Linked DNA regions of Rhinolophus ferrumequinum. The protein of the gene in region 1 interacts with the protein of each later gene in a pairwise test. Links are inferred from orthologs where the notes say so. Each region holds a gene or a part of one and is shown in the gene's direction. Other genes may lie near its edges.

Region 1 (8,373 bases):
CCGGATCACTCTGCTGGCCGTGACCCCTGGGCCTTTCTCTGCAGTGTGGTGATCCGTTGCCTTATAGCTGCCGAACTGTGTGTTCCCCACGCCTTCCCCATGACATCGCAAGGAAGTGTCTCAGAAAGCTGAGACCCGATGGAATAATGTCGGTAAAGCTTCTTTGGGGGAGGGTCCCAGAAAGCTGGAAACCGATGGAATAATCTCGGTCAGGCTCTCTTATCTGATGGTTTCAGTACAGTGATTCCATTCCCTGGAGTTATACGTGTGTGTGTGAAGGCACAGTACGTGTTGGAGCACGATGGGGGCTTTCGGGAAGAACAGCAGTCAGGCACGTGACTTGTGGACCATGGAAAAATCAAACTTTACTTCCTTGTATGATTACTAATAAAAGCCATGCGTTGGCCCGATTCGGAGCTCAGTCCTTGAGACTTGAGTCCCTTGGCCCAGCTTGCACTCTACTCTTGGCTACTGTCTTTCTTAACCCTGCGCAGCCCTTCTTGCTTCCCATAGCTCTTGTCATGCAGGACGCGACAGTGGTCTCCTGGCAGACACCCGTCTTTACAGTCCTGTACCTTTACGTATGGCTGGGTAGGGGTCATCAGTGGGGTGACGACCCCCCAGGTCTTCTTCCACTATGACTAAAGGGGGATAGGGTGTCTTTGCTTGTCTTTGCTGCAACTTTTACCACATTGAGTGAAAAAGGGCAAGGGGACTGGCGAATGGGGGATGGTCAGGGGCCAGGGCTGCCTGGGTTGTTGGGGCAGGAGGGAGTGATGAATCATGGCTGGGGCGGGATGCTGAGGGACATGAGGCTGGTGAGGGGGCAGTGGGAGTGGTGGGAAGGTGGGCCGCCATCCACAGACGTGGAGTGATGACCGGTCCACGTCAGGGAAAGGCAGCGAGGGGATAAGCGGGTCGTACTCGAGGGGAGCTGCAGGCTCTCCCTTACCACGGCCTTCCTCCCTCCAGCACGGGTAACTCAGGTAACTCAGGTCCTGCCCTTGGAGCTGTTCAACCCAGAGCTGGCTGCCCACTTGCAGGGTCTGCCGGGTACTCAGTGTGCGCTACAGTTCTCCTCATCTCGTGACATCTCCCTACCTCGTGAGGTTTTCTTCCCACCCCCTTCCCTGTCCAACAGCCCTTACACAGGATGTGACACTGAAGCAGTCCTCTGCAACAGCCAGGAATTGCACTGGGCTTGAAACTCTGACAAGCTGTGCTTTGAACAGAGAGGGGTTTATTTCTCTTCTTTAACCAAATGGCAGCTGAAGAGCTGTCAATGGGCAGAGCTGTCAGAGCCCCAGGCTCCCTTGGTTTACCACTCCTTCTCCTTTGCCTGTGTTTTTTCAGCTCTGGTTGCTCAACAGATGCCACACAACCGGGGGTTATATCCAAACTGCAGGCGGGAGCAAGAGGAAGGGGGTAGGGTGACACCTCCGTCAGCAAAGCAGCTGCTTCCCCATCAACCCCACACAGTACGTGAGCCACAGCTGCCTCAAACAGCCACACCTGGTTGCCAGGGGCTCTGGGGCAGCGAATGTTCTAACCAAAGAGAACTGGGATTCTGTCAGTGAGGAGGAAAGAGAGGAGGGTCTCAGGCAGGGCGGCGGCCACATCTGCTAAAACGCCACCTGGTGCCTGTTTCTCAGCCGATAATTATTGAACCCTATTGATGCCAGGTGTATTACTTTTCTATTGCTCCTAGAACAAATCACCATAAATTTCGCAGCTTAAAACAACACACATTTATTATCTCACAGTTTCTGTGGGTCAGTCACCCAATACGGCGTGACTGGGTCTTCTGCTTAAGGTCTCACACAGCTGACGTCAAGGTGTCTCAGGTCAACTGGGAAGAGCCTACTTCCATGTTCATTCAGGTTGTTGGCAGAATTCAGCTCCTTGCAGTTGGCTGAGGTCCCCTTCAACCTCAAAGTCAGGAACGGCACACGGAGTCCTTCTGCTTCGAGTCTCTGACATCCCGTTCTGCTGCATCTGACTAGCTGGAAAAAATTTTCTGCTTTTAAGGGGTCATGTGACCTCTTACATTGGACCCACCCAGATAATCCATGATAATCTCCCTAATTATATCCCATAACCCTAATTAACATCTGTGAAGTGCCTTTTGCCATGTAACCTAACATATTCCCAGGTTCTGGGGATTGGAGTGTGGACATATTTGGAGGCTCTCTGGCTACCACTGAGGTACCAGGTCAGAAGGTACGCAGACAGCAATGGTCTCCATTCTCATGGATTTACCGCCTAGAAAGGATGGTTACCTCACAGATAGAAATGTGGTGATGGCCTCGAAGGACAGGGCAGATGCTTGGCACATTACAGGACCCGACAGAGCCAGGAGCTCTGAGGGCTTTCCCAAGGAACTGAGTCCAAGTCAGACGAAGGAAAGTGTGGGCAAACCTAATTTCAGGACCAATGCCTGAGCCAAGAGCCAGGAATCAGGAGCCAGCAGCATGGCACTGAAGGGCAGTGCACAAGACCAGAGAACAAGAGTGTGGTGCAAGATGTAGGCAGGGAGGTCACCCAGGGCATTGTGACAATACTACTTCTATCAGAAGTGACTGTCACCAGTATTTAGGCCACTTGGTCCTCACAACACCCCCCTGTAAGGTGGACACTGCTGTCATCCCCAAATTACAGGGGAAATTGGGGAAATTGAGGCTTATAGAGGTTAGCCAAATGTCCACGCTAATAAGAGGGGGAGGTGGGAATCATAGCACCTCCACAGAAAATTGGTGTTCACTATTGGAAACAGGTTGGGGGAGAGTAAGAGCTGATGGCAAATGGCTCAGAGGCTGTTCTGATCAGGGGTGTCCCCCCCTATGCTACTATAACCTGAAAATGGCAGTGGCTCAACCACAGGAGCATTATGGGTGTTTGCTGGCCAGGCTCCACCTTATCACCCACTCTCATTATCTCAGATAGCAGCAAACCAGGTTGTCATGCAGGGTGTCATGTGGGGTCTCTGGTCCTGCTCCCCACATAAGAACACAGGACATGGTGAGGCCAAAAAGAAACACCCACGGAGCCATAGATAGGGGAGTCAGACCACTATATTCTCGCTGGCGGCTGGGTTGGAGACACAGGAAGCAGGAGCCACACGATCTGCAACCTGCCGTCCACTTCTCTGCAATCTGCAACCCGCACTCCACCGTGCTAACTGCAATCCGTGCTTGTCAGCCACCATCTTCTTGCTAGCCACCACTTCCTGCTAGCGTAGCCACGGCAGTTATATAAATGGCCAGTGACTCACTGGTTACAGCTGACGGCCAACCAGCCACAGCTGATGGCCATCCAAGCACAGTTGTTGGCCATTTACTACCTGAGCCAGGACCTTTCCACGTGAGGCCGAGACCTTGGAAACTGTGGGCTCTGTCCCCACACAGGTGCTGGCTCTTGAATCTTCTGTCTGGAGTCACTCATGTCACTTCTATTCACATTTCACTGGGCAAGGGAAATTACATGGCCAGATCTGCTGCCAGGGTCAGGGAAATGGGCTTCTCTCCAGAGTCCAAGCCAGGCCAAAGGTGATGCCAGCTAGCTTAGACTAAGGTGGTGGTAACGAGGTGGGTGGAGAGAAGTGAGGATAAAGGGACAGTGGAGGGAGGTACATTTCACTGGCAGGCAGTCAGGTGTGGGAGGAAAAGAAATGCGCTTAGATTTGGACATAAAAGCAGGAAATGCTGAGTTGGCTGTTAGGACTCAGAAGAGCCTCCTGGGCAGGAGACACAGTGTGGGGACAGAGTCCCGGAGAGCAATTTCTAGGCTCTTGGCCTCACGTGGAAAGATGCTGGCTCAGTTATTGGACGGCCATCAGCTGTGATCAGATGGCCATCCGCTGTGGCTGGGTAGCCATTCAGCTGTTGCCGTTTAGCCATTGGTCACTGATATAACTGCCGTGGCTGTGCTGGGGGCGGGGGTGGGTTGGTTGGTTGGCAGAGAAGTGGACGGCAGATTGCGGATAGTGTGGCTCCTGCTTCCTGTGTCTCCAACCCAGCCGCCAGCGAGAATATAGTGGTATGACTCCCCTATCCATGGCTCCGTTGGTGTTCCTTTTTGGCCTCACCATATCCTGCGTTCTTGGGTGGGGAGCAGGAGCTGGGACCCCGCATGACACATGGCATGGAGTACATCAGTGCATCAGTGGCCATCATCAAGGCCAGTTTGTACCATGCCACCTTAACCGATTGCACCTACCAGAGACCAAGGACAGGACCTTCCTGGAGAGCTCTGAGGACTTGGCCAAATGCAGCATGCCTCCTCCAGCACCTGAGAGAGATCCATTCCCCAGTGTGACACCTTGACCGGGGGTTCCTCAGAGATGGAATGGGGGTGGCCACTTAGCCACAGGTCCTTCTACTCAGTGATGACAGGGCCTGCAGGCTCATCCCTGGCCTTTGTTGCTGCCCTGTCCTCTTCCTGCTGTGTCATGGCTGTCTTCATTCACCCATTCATTCATTCAGCCAGTATTTAGTCGTGTGTGCTTGGTATCCACTAGATGTCCACTGAGCTGACAGTTAGTGAAAAGACAAAGATGTCTGAGAGGGCATCCTAGAGGGCCTGACTAGGGTGGGGATTCCCTGAAGAGCTGAAGTTTCCAGACCTGCAGAGAAGTTGCCCAGGGCACCTCAAGTTGGGGGTAGGCTCTCAGGCTGTTGCTGCCTTTGGCCCATGGAGCTCTGTCTGGGCCTCACCTCCTACTCTCTGCCCCTCCCCTTGGAGCCTCCCAGCATGCTCTCTCACTCTGAAAGGGAGAGGGGAGTGGAGGGAACGGAGCTGGATGTTGACTCCCTTGTGGCATCTTTCTTCCCACCTACAGCAATCTCTCTCTCTCACATACATACATACACACAGGACTGTAGTTCTTGGGGACATGTTGCCCTGGGGACTCAGGACACACAAGAGCTCAGTGAGTGTGAGATGGAATGAGCTACGACCTCAGCTACTGGGCCAGCTCTGAGCCCCTGGAGGGTCAGGGACCATCTGTCCTATTGACTGCTGTAGTCCCAGCTCCAGGCACATACAGGTCACTGCGTAAATATCAGTAACTAAATGAAAGGACTGATAAAAAACGAGGGACAGGCAGATTTCAGACAGCCAAGTGGAGAAAGGCTTTGAGGGGTTGCGCGGGGCTATGGCTTTCGCTGGAGGACGGGCAGGCCCACCCTTCCGGAGTCCTGCCCGGCGCGACGTCACCAGTCGGGAGGGAGCCGCGGCCTCACGGGGGCGGGGCCTCCGCCGGCGGTTGCGTCATGGGAGGCGGGACCGCAGCTGCCCTGAAGTTGCGGCGGGCGTTGGTCACGTAGCTCAGGTTCTCCCGCTGCAGTCCCGCGCATTTCCGTTCCTGTGCCCTATTCCTGCCATCCCTCCATCATGCCGATGTTCGTGGTGAATACCAACGTGCCCCGCGCCTCCGTGCCGGACGGGCTCCTCTCCGAGCTCACCCAGCAGTTGGCGCAGGCCACTGGCAAGCCGGCCCAGGTTAGCCGGGAGGGAACAGGAAGAGGGGGTGCCCGTCGGCCGAGGTGGTCCCGAGCTGGGGCGAAGGGAGGCGACTCCGGGCGGGGAAGGGACGGGGGGCGCCCCGGGCCCGGCGAGGTCGCTCGGATCCTCTGACCGCGCCCTCTCTTCCTCTCCCCCCAGTACATCGCGGTGCACGTGGTCCCGGACCAGCTCATGGCCTTCGGTGGCTCCACTGAGCCTTGTGCACTCTGCAGCCTGCACAGCATCGGCAAGATCGGCGGCGCGCAAAACCGCACCTACAGCAAGCTGCTGTGCGGCCTGCTGGCCGAGCGCCTGCGCGTCAGCCCGGACAGGTGCGGTAGGGGGCGCCGGGGGGCAGGGGGCGCGCGGCCCGCGACCGCACGGCCAGCTCAGCTCGACTTCTGTCCCTCGCAGGATCTACATCAACTACTACGACATGAACGCGGCCAACGTGGGTTGGAACAGTTCCACCTTCGCCTGAGGGCTGCCCGGGACCCGCCTGCACCAGGCCCTGCCGCCTGCGGTATTTGCCCGCCGTGCTCCCACCTCCCGGTCGAGAGAAATAAACGGTTTGGAGAACGCGGCTGCCTCGGACTTCCTTGGCTTATGGAGGCATCTCTAGGGGGCGGGGACAGTGGAGAACCAAGGCTGGGAGAGGTGCCCCCTCAGAATCTGCTGCCCGGTGCTTTTTGCTCAGTCTTTCCCTCCTGCGCCCCCAGCAGAAGGCCCAGTCTTGGTTGGCATCCTGTCCTGGCCACAGACCCAGGAATGAAACTAAAATGGAAGCCTCCCACGGCAGGTTTATGACAGCTGGGAAGGAACCCAGAGTTGAGTCTCCCCCCAGAGTTGAGTCTCCCATCCGCAGGGGCAGGGCCACCACGTGGGCTAGGTCTGGCAGGGAAGGTGGGGGGAAGGGAGGGGTTGGGCTCCAAATCTGATTAGCCTGAGAGGTTGTAGGATCAGCTGGTCCTGGACCTTTCTCTCAGCCCCGTTTTCCCCTTCCATCTTCCAGTTGGGCAAAGGGTACCCTGAGGAGAGAGGCCCCCCCCCTTCGTCCCAGGTCATTCTGCTAGGCTGGTGCCCCAGTTTCTTGATCTGGAAAATCCCATTGTTTGGGCCTGGAGTCTTCTGGCTGAGGATCCCTCCAGTCAAGTGTGGGGGCTCCTTTGTGGGGATAGTAATAGGATGGTGGGCAATTTCAGTGCCAACACCTGGACCACAGGGTCCTTGGCTGCCCTGTTGCCCATCCTACTGGCTGGGAAGTGCTCCTTGCCCAGGCCAGTTGACTTGGGCTGGAATGCCTCGCCACCCGATGATGTGAGAGTCGTGATGTGCCCAGGCAAATGGCCAAGCAAGGGCCAGCCACTGGCATTGGGGATTCACCTGCTTGGAGCTGGCACTAGTCGGCTAGGGTCAGCACCTGTGTCGCCCAAAGTGAAGGACCAGATTGGCCCTTCCTGCACTGCCTGCTCTGTGGGAGAAGTCAAGTTTACTTCAGCGGCTTGCACAGAGGGGGCTCCTTGGGCTGTGTGAACACTGTTCCTTGGGGCTTGGTAAAGGTGGGGCCTCACCTCTGGACTCCTGGTAGCCCAGAGCTGTTGATAGCCCTTGTTCTTCTTCAGCTTCTATCTGGCCAAGGACGTCCTACTTGGAAGGTGATTTTTAAAATTCCATGGAGTTTAAGTGAATTTGAGTTTGGAAACTAGGGATAAGGGTTGCTTCCTGGGCCAAGCCTTTGAAGACTGTTACTGCCCTTTTGACGTTGGGAGTGACGAGCAGGCCTGCCTGAGCCACAGGCAGTGACTCCTAAGGAAGTGACTCCTTCCTTAGGATGGCTGCCAGTGGCCCTGCCCTTGTGCCTGTCAACTATGTGGTGTCACTGTGAATACCCAGGAGGCATGGGCAGAAAGCTCTGGGTGCACAGCCCAGGCTTGATTATGGCAACTTTAGAACAACCCCGGCCCAGGGCTGCTGAGCTCAGTTAGTTGGTGCTTTCCACATGGATCCACACCCTCCCTGCCTCTCTTCCATCACAGCATTCGTGGCTGTGATGTCTGTCCTCGGGGGCAGCCTACCTTTGCCAGCTTGCTCATCAAGATGCCTGAGGATTACTTCTTTTCAGTCCAGGTGCTGGGGGTGCTCTCCCCACTCAGCCTCAGTCATCTTACCGCTGGGCAGCAAGGGTTTATTTCCAGAAAAGCAGTGAGAAAGGAGAATCAGCTTGGGGGAGCCTGGAAGGATGTGACCTATCTTTGGTGGGGAGACACTCCACTTCCACAAAAGACTCTGAGGGGCTTGCTCCAGTTTACCTCAGGGTCATTCTGTCCTGGATGAAAGGCTGTGGAGGCCAACACCCATCTCTGTTGGGATGGGGAGCATGGCCCCAGCTGCAGCCAAAGGTCCCACTCATTTAAGCCTAGCTTTTGGATCTGAGCTGCCCCTCACGAATCTGGAAGTGTCAGGTTCAGTGGCCAGCTGGGACACCTGCAAGGTAATGGCTCCTTGGAAAGGAAAAAGGGACCTATATTCTTGGCTCTCCCCACCATGCTCCCAAGTCCCCTGGAGCTAATAGCCAGCCCTGCACCCCACCCTCGTTTCATATCCTCTCCCCACCCGAGTCACTCCCTCGTCAGCCCCATTTCCTCCAAAGCATGGGCTTCACTGCTCATCGAGCAGCCTGTCCCTCAAACTGCAGTGGCTCTAGGGCCCACAGGAGTGTGGTCAGCCTTCAGAATGGCAGCAAAAACTCATTTCCAAATAACACCGCAAACTGAGGTGTGGAACAGATAAAGTGTTACTCTAGTGGCATCATGCCATCTGCTGATGAAGGCCCTCACCTGCGGGACAACATGATTTTCCACACAGCCATTG
Region 2 (10,964 bases), on another chromosome or scaffold:
CTGTGTCAACATGGACCTTACCATTGGGAAGGCAACCCCAAAGGACAAGAAATACGTGGAGCAACTGGAGGCCCTCTTCCCAGATCTGCCCGAGAGAAAAGACATCTTTGATTCTCTGCAAAAGGCAAAGTTTGATGTGTCAGGTGGGAAGGGGTGAACTGACGTCTCTCCTGCCCAGGTGTGGAAATGGCGGGAGCATCACCAAGACAACTTCATACTATGCGTAATGATTAAACTTCATGCTGGGGAGAACCGAGGTGGTGTGCGAGCGATCAGGCACTGATCAGTCGTTGACGGGATTGTTCTGTGTGAGCTGTTGTGGGGGAAGAGGAAGAGAAGGAGGAGGAGGAGGAATAGAGTAAGAGTCTCGGAGTTTCCAGTCTAATCAGAATATAGACATAGAAATAAAATATGCCAAAAGAATACTAAATTATCAGAGTGAGAGCTGGAAGCAGAAGAAATATACCAAAGTGAATATACCAAGGACAAAGAAAGAGAACAAAAAAAATCTTCCATAATTTTCTACCCAGCTACTACCTCTTGACGTATAGAAAGAAAAGTGCCACATGTACTTTTAGACAATGAAAAAAACACAGAAAGGGGGAGAATCCTAAGCAAAAGGCTCCCTTCTTCCTTTTATCCTTCTCTCTCTTGTTCTAATGGTAACTATTGTGACCCAGTAATTTAAAGTAATTTTGATTATCTAATGACATTCTCAGTTACCAGTCCTTTCATTGCCCCAAAGAGAGGCTGTGTTCTTCCTCTTCCTTGGCCCATCTTGGTATCCTCACCTTCCTGGTCTTAGGGCCCTGGGCTCTTTGACCCCAAGTCTCACATCTGCTTTCTAGGACTGACCACCGAGCAGATGCTGAGAAAGGACCAGAAGACCATCACCAGACAAGGCCTCAAGGTGGCCATTAGTGCAATATATGTGGACTTGGAGGTAAGAGCAAGGTGTAGCTGTGGTGGGCACGAAAACCTTCAGTTAGGGAGGTACTCTTGCCCCTCACGCCTGGCTCTCCTCCGGAGGACATCTCGTACCTTCCTGCGTCTCTCCGTCTCTGTCACTCCCACAGTTTCCTGGTTTTCCTGCCTGCACTTTTGCGCCCCTACAAACCATTCTCCCCACAGCAGCCGGAGCGATCTTGATACGTCAGGTAGATCACACCGCCCCTCCCTTTACCGCCTTTTCAGTGGACTTCTAATAACATGCAAAGGCCTGGCTGTGGTTACAGCGCCCTCCTTGGTCTGGCCCTTGTCTTTCTCTCCGACCTCACGTCACTCCAGCCCCACTTCCCCACTCCTGCCCTCACAGTACTGCAGCCACACTGGCTTGCTTTCTGTTCCTCGGCGCCATTAAGCTCATGCCCATTTCAGGGCCCTTGCACTCGCTTTTCCCTGTGCAGCGCCGGCTTCTCCGTCTCACTGAGCACAGGTGTCCCCTCTTTTAAGAAGTTCTTCCTGACCGTCCTCACTGAAATGATACCCTCCCCACTCAGAAATCTCTAGCACTTATCTTACTTTGTTTTCCTCGTAGCACTTAACACACTGGAATAATCATATTTCATGTTTTCCTTGCTTATTGTCTCTGTTCCTCTGCTGGTGTATCAGCCCCGCCAGAGGGAGGACCCTGCTTCTTGGGTTTGGTTGGGTTGTGTCTCTAGCACCTTTGCCAATGCCTGGCACTCAGTGGCTGCTCAATAAACTTTGTGAAATGGGTGAATGAGTAGAATTTTGATGCTTGATATCTGAAGTGGTATTTGAATTCCTGGTTCCACATCATATGGGTTTAAATCGTTCGACAACCTGATCTGAACACATACTCTCATAGTCTGCACAGCTTTCTACTAAATGCCGTGTACAAATGCTAAAACACTAAATAAAACAAAATAGCATGACCTCTTCCCTTACGACTCATAACCTAGTTTGGAAAACAGACATAAGAACTGAAAAGGCTTACCAAGTCCCATAAGCACAAAGCAAACTAACACATTAAAAGGGCCAAAGGGAGAGAGAAGCCATGATCAGAAACAGGTGGGGGTGCTCTCCATTGGGGGATCCACTGGGGGAAACACTGCGTGAGATGTTGGAGATGAGCATAGATTGGCAAAGGATGAAGAGCCAAGGATGCAGTTGTCACGTGTCTATTCTTATTTGTGTGCCCCGTTGTTCCATTTTGGAATTAAAATACCCAAACGGCAAAGACCTTTGATTGCAAGAACAGGGGAATTTTTGTAATTCCTAAAACAACCATGTTTGGTAAATGTTTCATCCTCACTTTACAGACGAGGAAACTTAAGTCCAGGGCGGTTAACCTAACTCTTTGAACATAATGCTTAGCTATAGGTAATAGAGCTGATTTTCAAACCAATTCTATCTGAACCCAAAGCCCATCTTCTCCCCACTCTACACACTGCCTCCCAGCACAGAGTACATCCAGGTACTTCTTCTGGCGTACCAGTCCCAGGGTAACGTGCAGAGAGAGAAACCCTTCCTAAGCGTGTTGTGTTGGTGGTGACAGTGAGGGGCCAGCTGTCGTCCTCAGCTCTGTCCATTTCTTCTCTTCCAGGCCTTCCTGCAGAGGTCTGGTCTCATTGCAGACCTCCGTGCTTACTGCCAGGCTCACAGCTACGATGCCCTGGTTGCCATGACGATCGTTTTCAACCCTCACAATGAGCCAGTGAGGCAGCTGGCTATTTTCTGTCCCCATGCAGCCCTCCGAATGACGGTGAGTCTCTGTCCCTTCTCCATCCCGAAGGCCCTGCGGCGCTCTGCCTATACGCGCTGCCCTCTGTGGTAAGACCTCTCCTTGGTTCTTATGTTGACACAGGTCCTTCGTATTCCCAAAATCTCCCCTCTCCGCTTTTTCCCATTCTCTACATACGTGAATACCCTTAATCATTGTTGAGAAAGGGAGATTCCAAAGAGAATTAGAGACACGGTTCCTACTTAGAAGGAACTTAAAATCGGCTTCAAAGAAAATAAATTTGGAGTTAAGACTTGGTGTAATCTTTGATTCCCACCCCTGAAAATCGATTCTTTCTTTTTTTTTTTTTTTTTTTACCCTATTGTCTTGAAAATGGAAACACAAGAGAAAGCTTTTCTGCTACTTACCTGTGCAGCAATTAATTACTCTTGTTTAGCGCTGACTGTTGAGAAGTGGTCTGGGAGCAGGTTTGTTTTCTTGCCTGATCTGCCATGTGGTCCCCTTGCCCTCCTCCTCCCCTTTCTTTTCCTCTGTTGGTTACTCATTAGCCCAGAGGAGAATTTAAAAGTGGACGTAAGGCGGTCCAGGGGCTCTTTGGGCTGCTTGGCTGTGTGAGAACTGCCAGACTGGTGACTACAGCCAGAGAACCCTCTGAGCCCGCGAAAGGTACGTCTGCCCCCCTCCACCTCTCTCTGCCTGCCTTCTCCTACAGGAAACAAGTGTCACTTCACTCAGTGGAAGGTAGTTTGGTCCTGTGGAAAGAACTAGTTTCTAAAGGCAGGTAGACATGCTTTTCTGTCTCCGTTTGCCACTTCCGTGCTCTTTGAGCTAAGGCAAGTCAGTTGACTTCTGAGTCTGTAAGTGGCATGATATTACCTACTCAGTAATCAGTCTGATGTAACATTAAACACAATATCGTGTAAAGTATATTGCTGGGCACAGTCAGCACTCGGTGCCAGGTGGCTCTTACCAGCGTGTCATGAAGGAAAGGGTCCCTCGGCTGATAGAAGTGCCTGTCCCCACTGTGTCCCCACCACAGCCTGGCTGTGCTGGGCCACAGGAGGCCTCTCCCACTGTCCGTGCCATTGCCGCTCTCCCTCTTGTTGGGACAGTATAACACAGCGATTTCGAGCATTGCCTTTGCTGACAGACCTAGGCTCCAGTGTCAGCTTTGCTTCCTTCAAGCTCTGACTTTAGCCAAGTTACCTAATCTGTCTAAGCCTCAGTTTCCCTCCCTGTAAATGAGAGTAATGGTAATACCAATCTTATAAGGGAGTTGTGAGGATTCCAAGAGAGACTATTGGTAAATGGCCAGACGTGGCACCGTGCCTGGCCTACGTCCCACCCCACTTTGATCTGTTCATTCATTCCGCCCTGATTCTTTCCCGACCTCAGTAGAGGTCTGTCCTGTCCCAGCTAAGGCTAGAGTTCAAGTTTTTGAGCCCAGGAATACACTTGGAAACAACAAGTATCCTCCTAACAACAAGTGTTAGGAGCTGGGGGGCCTGGGTTCTGGTTCAGATTCCACCATCATCTACACAATTTTGTTCATCTCTCGGGGCTTTGGTTGACTTCATAATAAAATGAAGTCTATGGTCTCAAGTGTTTCTTCTGTTTCTGAAATACTAGATGTATTAGCTGATGTGCCTTTGGTTGCAAGCAATGAAACTGAACTCTAGGTGACTTAATAAAAAAACCGTGTTCTCCTCTGTAAGAGAAGCCTGTACCTGGGAAGCCTCAGCTCTTTGCCTCAGCCACCGCCTTATATACCATTTCCCCATCTTGTCTCCCCTTTAGATCTGTGGGGTCCTGGAATGCTCCCAGTCTCCGTCCCTGAAGCTGACCCCTGTCCCAAGCAGCCACCCCAACCTCCAGGCCTACGTCCAAGGCAACACCCAGGTCTCTCGGAAGAAATTTCTGCCTCTGCTCCAGGAAGCCCTGTCAGCGTATTTTGACTCCATGACAATCCCTTCGGGGCAGCCTGAGACAGGGGGTGTGTCCAGGGAGCAGGTAGACAAAGAATTGGACAGGGCAGGTACCCCGCTGATTCCTGGACTGAGTCAAGATGAGGAGGACCCCCCACTGCCCCCCACACCCATGAACAGCTTGGTGGATGAGTGCCCTCTGGATCAGGGGCTGCCGAAACTCTCCGCCGAGGCCATCTTTGAGAAGTGCAGTCAGATCTCGCTGTCACAGACCACCGGTGCCTCCCTGTCCAAGAAGTGACTGTTGGGACAGGCGAGCATAGCGAGAGAAGTTGCTTGAACCATGTTTTGAGACGTTTGCATGTTTTGAGACGTTTCAGCAATTGTCTTCGTTGCTCCAGGATCTGGTGGATTGTGGTCATAAACCTGGGAGGAGAAAGAAGTACAAGAAAGCAGCTGCTTCAGGAGTGGCTTTCTGCCTTTCCACCCCCCCCACCCGTCTCTACCAATCAAATTTTATTATTTAATTTAATGATTTAAGTCTGCACTGACTCTCCTACATCTCATTTGCCAGGGGCACAGAGAACGTGTGCCCCAGAAGTGCCCTCCACGAGGCTCTTTCCGGTGTCTCATGGAACCACACGCTTACGGTCTCCATGTATTCACTTATTCTCTGGTGAAGTCAAGTATTTATTACTGAGCACCTACTTCAAGCTAGGTAGAAACATGGAGTGCTTTGGAAACTCTTCTTCCAGTTTTCAGCCGTTAGCAGATTTCCAACTTCGTGACCCCTCTCTCTGCCCCCAGCTAGGTAACGATGTCTGATTCTGAGGTGACGAAATTTCTGTTCTGAGCTTATTGTGACTCTTCCGGCATTACCGGGGAGCAGGGTAGAGGCCATTATCTTCTGTCCTGATCAGGTGGCCCGGCTCTCACTTTCTTTGGATTCCTCTCCCCCAAAGCCACGGGGAGCCTGAGGAGACCCAACAGACCCTGGTTCTGGAGTGCTCTGGGCCTAAGACTTCATAGACTCTTCCCAAAAGCCAGCAGAACTGCGTTAAGAGCCCGGGCTCTGTCCCCAGCCTTAGTGGGTCTGTCAGTTTCTTGTCTGTGTTATTCTCTTGCTCATATTAAGAGGAAGCCTGGAGTTCTGACACCAGCTGCCATGAACCATGAGTCTTTTGCGACGCTTTGTCTCTCTAGGTCTCATTTTCCCATCTATAACACCATGGACCTGGACGCAAACCTCTCTCGCGTTCTGTGATCTGCCTCTTGCCGCCATCCTTTCTCTCTGCATCTCTGAATGTTTTGGGTTTTATTTTTCTGTTTTCCCTGGGAATGCTCGGGGTCACCAGATTGTCTGTATTTATACGTGCTTGTGCCAAGGGACTCGGTCGGCCTCATGTAGCATGTACAGAGGTGCGTCTCAGACCTTAGTGACCGGCTGAGAGCTCCCTCCCCTGACTTGTTCGGCGTGTAGTCTCCTTTTCTCTTCAGACCTGTCCCCCTGTCCCCCCGACCCCCCGCAGCTCTATTCCACATAAGTTGCCAACAGTTTCACTGAGTAGTGGGGGGGTGTGACGCGTGGCGTCTTCATTGTAATGGGGGGCGGGCGGACTTCCTGCGGGGATGATGTGTGTAGCCATTGGAAGGTGAAAATAGTCGTGTGATTACTGAACCAAAAGAGTTTATGTTTTGTAATTTGGGTACTTTATTTTGCATTTTGTTAAAGTATTAAATTTTTTTTTCCTGTTTGGGGTCGTATTGTCTCTTTTTACAACTTATAATCAGGCCTTTGCCTCAGATCACTGTTTCAGCCTCCTCAAGTTTCATCTCCCTTCTTCCTGCTCTACTTCATGTTTTCCTTCCGTTGACTCTTTAGGAATAAGGCACAACAGTCTTCTGTCTCTCGTCACCCTCAGCCTTGCCTTTCATTTGTTTCTTCCTCCAGAACCCTCCTGAAAACATACTTCTGTGTTGCTGATTTTGCTTATGCTCAAAAGGTAGGGCCAACATAGTCTTAAAACCAAAGTGGGTTTTACTGTTGCCTTTTTGTCTTTTTTTTTTTTTAAGCAGCTTCCAGGTTATGAGGAGTCTGAGGAGGAGAACAAGTGGCCTTACTACATAAACCTCTACCCCCCCCCAAGACTAGCCCCTTTAGAAAATGTACTCTCCTCCCCCAAACCCGCCCCCACTTAGGCAGGGTTATTCTTTTGGGTGAACCTGCTCCTTGGGAAGGGAGGTGGCAAAACCTGTTTGAAGGTGAGGTTCCCTCCCTTCTACCCCTTCCTTCTGAGGCAAGAGCAACAACAGCTGAGAGAGAAAAGGGTACAGAAGTGCTGGGGAGCTGGGACCACCGGCTGCCTAGAAGTCCAGGTGTGTAAAGGAGACAGGAAGATTTGGGAAGATGGAAACTATAGTGGAGGCAGGAGAAAAGACATTGGATCTCGGGTAAGTAAGATCTTGGTTAACTCAGTTGGAAAGAAGTGAATGGTCTTAGGGGATATTCCCACCACCCAGCTCTTACCAGGTCTGATCTTGGGTTCCTAGAGGCAATAAGACTAAGAATTTGCAGGGAAGGCATGGGGGTGGCTTTAGGTAGGAAATGTTGGAATGGTATGGGAACAGGGGAGGCCAGGGTAATTCCCTGTGCGTGTGTGTGTGTGTGTGTGTGTGTGTGTGTTTGAAGGAAATACTCTGTGTGATAAATCTGCCCCTGTTCTCTGTTTTCTGACCCTCACCCTCCAAAATGGCTATTCTCTAGGAAAGCAGACCTAGAATTAAATTAGGTCCGGGTTCTCCTCCCCAGCAAATCTTTCTTCTTACCTTCTTCCTCCACCCATGCCATGGTTTCCCCTGGCCACTCCCAACATGGTGGAGGAAAGGCAGGCCTGACCAGGTGCCATGTGACTGGGGCAGGTCTGTTGGGTTCCAGCCAATTGTAATGAGAAACACTCTCACCCCTACTGTGTAGGTGGAGGGACTGCCACAGATGTAACTGATTAGCTTTGTGTTCTATCCTTCCTCTGCTCCTCAGCGCAAATGAGGGGTGATCTGTTTCTAGCCAGTGGTGAAGTGGGTGGAAACATCTGCCTAGGAGACAAGAGATCTGACTTCCTTTTAGGGCCTGCCCTCTGCCCGGCACCTGAGTCACTATTCTCCATCCCAGGGTCTCCTACCTCCCATCCAGTTCCCTTAAGACACTGCTTAGTTTGCTTCATGGTAATCTTTTCTTTTGGGGGGTGGGGGGACTTACGGTCAGGGAGAATGCAGAAGCGACAGGACTAGGAGCACCGCTGAGACTCGAGGGACTGGATCTGAAGGAGGAATGGCAGGATGAAGAATTCCCTAGGTGAGGAGGTGTGAGGGAGGCTGGGAGAAGGGGGGTGGTCACAATGGAGGGCAGGGAGGGTAAGCCAGGACTTGAAGGAAAGACGCTGGATAAAGAAAGCGGAGGTGATGAAATTGTGGCGGGGAGAGAGAATGGGTCAATCAATATCTGGCTTGATGCCTTTAGCCTGTGTTTCTTCCCCCTTTTAATCTTTTCCCTTCTAGATTGCTTCCTGAAGCAGCTGACCCTTCCGAAGATACTGATAGTCCTGAAAGTGACTCACAGGCAGGTAGGAAAAGTCAATCCTAGGCCTCAAATTCTTGATTCAAATCTAGTGAAGGGTTATGCCACCCGTATCCCTTTGCAATTTTAATTCCCTTTCCCCAAACGTCCTGTGTTGTCTCCGTATTATCACTTCCATCTACACAGGAATTCTAACCTCCCCCGCTAACACATACACACATCTTTTTATTTTTTTGTCCCCTCACCCTCCTCCAACCCAGGTACCCCCAGCACGTTAGCCCTGTGTGGCCAGCGCCCCATGCGTAAGCGTCTTTCTGCCCCAGCGTTGCTACTGAATCTGACGAAAGGGCCGGGAGATAATGGAGCTTCTCCTCTCCACTCTGTACCTTCCTCTCCCGGTGGCAGTTCTGACCTGGAAGTAGACGAATTAGAGACACCTTCAGACTCGGAGCAGCTGGACAGTGGACATGAGTTTGAATGGGAAGGTGGGAAAGACACCTGAGGGCTGAGCTGGTAGAAGTAGAGGCCAGTTAAAGAAGCTCGGGATGGATTTAGTGGGACTGAAGTTAGAACTAACAAGGAGGGGACTGAGAAGTGAGGTCAGCAAAATCGATTTCCTCAGAATAGAAAGCTAGAGCCCAGAGATCCAATGCAAGAGTGTCAGCAGAGGGGGGCTGGGGTCCTTTTTTATTAAGGAAAACTGTTGAATGACTGTTACATGCCATCACTGAGCTGGAACCGGAGATATAAAGTCCCCACCCTCAGGCACTTCTCTGTTTAGTAAGAAATGAGCATAAATAGAAGGAAGTGCAGTTCCAGCTTATGACCTTCACATGTCCAGGGTACAGTTCAGGCCGGGAGGGGGAGATCAGTGCTGCGGGAGAGGCACGAGGAAAGACCACAGAGGAGGTGACTGACAGCTGTCCGTCACGTAGTCGGACAGGCATTCTAGCTGGAAGAGGCGATTGGGGCAGCGGCATGGCATTTGGGGAATTCCAAGTCTCAAGCATGACTATTTAGATATTAAGGAAAATTTGGTTTCTTCTCTACTCTCAACACTTCTGAGACCAACTGTGTGGGTTTTCCCCACATCAATTCTCCAGCTCTCCAGACAGCAATTAAGTTAGAACATGAACCACCTGGAGTTAGCGCAGACCCCAAGGTTAAGGGTCAGTCCCCCAAGACTGTCCCCCTCCCCGCACTTCAAACACCAGTCACATGTCCAGGTCATCACCTGTGCTGGCCACTCACTGCCCCCTGCTCAGGTTCGATAATTTGCTAGAATGACTAACAGAACTCAGAAAAACAATTTCCTTACTAGATTACAGATGTATTGTACGAGGATGCAACTCAGGAACAGCCAGAAGGAAGAGATGTGTAGGACAAGGTGTATGGGGAGGTGTGTGGAGCTTCCACGCCCTCTGAGCACCCCCATGTGTTTGTTCACCGACCCAGAAGCTCCCCGAACCGCCTCCGCTAGGGTTTTATGGAGGCTTCATTGTGTGGTCACGACTGATTGGTTCACTGGCCATTAGTGATTAACACAACCTAGTCTCTCTCTCCTCCTCAAAGGTGCAACCCTCTAATAACAAGGATGGTTCCCCTGGCAACCAGCCACTCATCCTTAGGGGCTTTCCAAAGTCACCTTATTAATAAAAACCCATGTGGTTGAAAGGCGCTGGTTATGAATAACCAAATGTACTCCTTTCATGTTTCTCATCCACTGTTTCAGGAGGCAGGGACAAAACAAAAATATATATTGTGTCTCAGATATGAAAGGTTGGGAGGTGAAGAGACAATGACAAAAGATAGTGCTATGTTAAGTCAGCAAGGTCAAATAGCGGAGAGTCTTGCTGCCCTGCTAAGAAGTGTAGATTTTATCTTTTATCTTTAGATGGGGAGTCATTGAATGGTTTTCATCAAGGGAGTGACGTGATCAGAATTAATCACTCTGGAAAGATCCCTCTGTAGGGTATCAGTCCTATTTATGGTGCAGCCATACAATGGAATACTAAGTACTAGGCAGCTATTTTTTAAAATGAGGTGGGCATAGTATTGTCATTTGGGTGAAAAAGGTAGGGGAGAAAAGAAAGCTTGCTCTGGCAGTCGTGTAGAGGGTGCAGTGGAAACCAGACCAGAGGCAGGAAGACCAGTTAGGAGGCGAGAACAGGCTAGGTGAGAAATACTAAGACGCCGAACCAGGACAGTAGCAGCGGAAGGAGTGATAAAAGTGTAATGGAGGCAGAGGGAAGAGGACCCAGGCTCCACTTGGCTCGAGGGCTGATAGAGGAGAGTCTCGGATGATGTACAGATTTCTCTCTCAGGAAGCTGGATGGACCCAGTCCTTCACTGAGAAAGGAATCTGAGAGAGGAAGAAGAGCAGAGTCTGAGTTGCTCTTGGGGTCTGGTGACTTGGAGGTGACAGAGAGATGAGTAGAGGTGTCCCGTGTAGGCACGCGGGGATGTGGGTCTGGAGAGAAGCCTGGGTGACAGAGGCGAATCTGGGGGTCATCACCTTACGCTGCTAATGGAAGACATGGGAATAGATGCGCTCACCCAAAGAAAAGCATGGAAAGAGGAATAAAGAATCCGGAAAAAAGAAAACAAAAACTGATACTGGCAAGGGCCATAGACCTACCACAGGGCAAGGTTGCCTCAAGGGCACTGTCTACTGCAAAAGTGACGATGATGAGTCATAGAGAGCCACCAGCAAGGGGTTGGCTGTATTGGACAAACGAGGGCTAGCATCATGGGGAAG

Evidence for each region.
Region 2: the proteins of MIF (region 1) and BNIPL interact in a two-hybrid assay, tested with the Homo sapiens proteins (2 studies listed by BioGRID and IntAct). The link is inferred for Rhinolophus ferrumequinum from reciprocal best matches to the Homo sapiens genes MIF and BNIPL.

The regions. Positions count from the first base shown.
Region 1 is NC_046308.1:22,612,720-22,621,092, reverse strand, and holds MIF (macrophage migration inhibitory factor), read left to right. Parts: upstream 1-5,278; 5' UTR 5,279-5,391; coding exon 5,392-5,499; intron 5,500-5,661; coding exon 5,662-5,834; intron 5,835-5,916; coding exon 5,917-5,983; 3' UTR 5,984-6,085; downstream 6,086-8,373.
Region 2 is NC_046305.1:51,128,456-51,139,419, forward strand, and holds the start of BNIPL (bcl-2/adenovirus E1B 19 kDa-interacting protein 2-like protein), read left to right. Parts: upstream 1-6,910; 5' UTR 6,911-7,039; coding exon 7,040-7,083; intron 7,084-7,894; coding exon 7,895-7,984; intron 7,985-8,187; coding exon 8,188-8,252; intron 8,253-8,466; coding exon 8,467-8,691; intron 8,692-10,964. Other genes in the region: exopolyphosphatase PRUNE1, read left to right, coding at 1-143, 849-943, 2,570-2,728, 4,505-4,933. UniProt on the Homo sapiens protein: May be a bridge molecule between BCL2 and ARHGAP1/CDC42 in promoting cell death.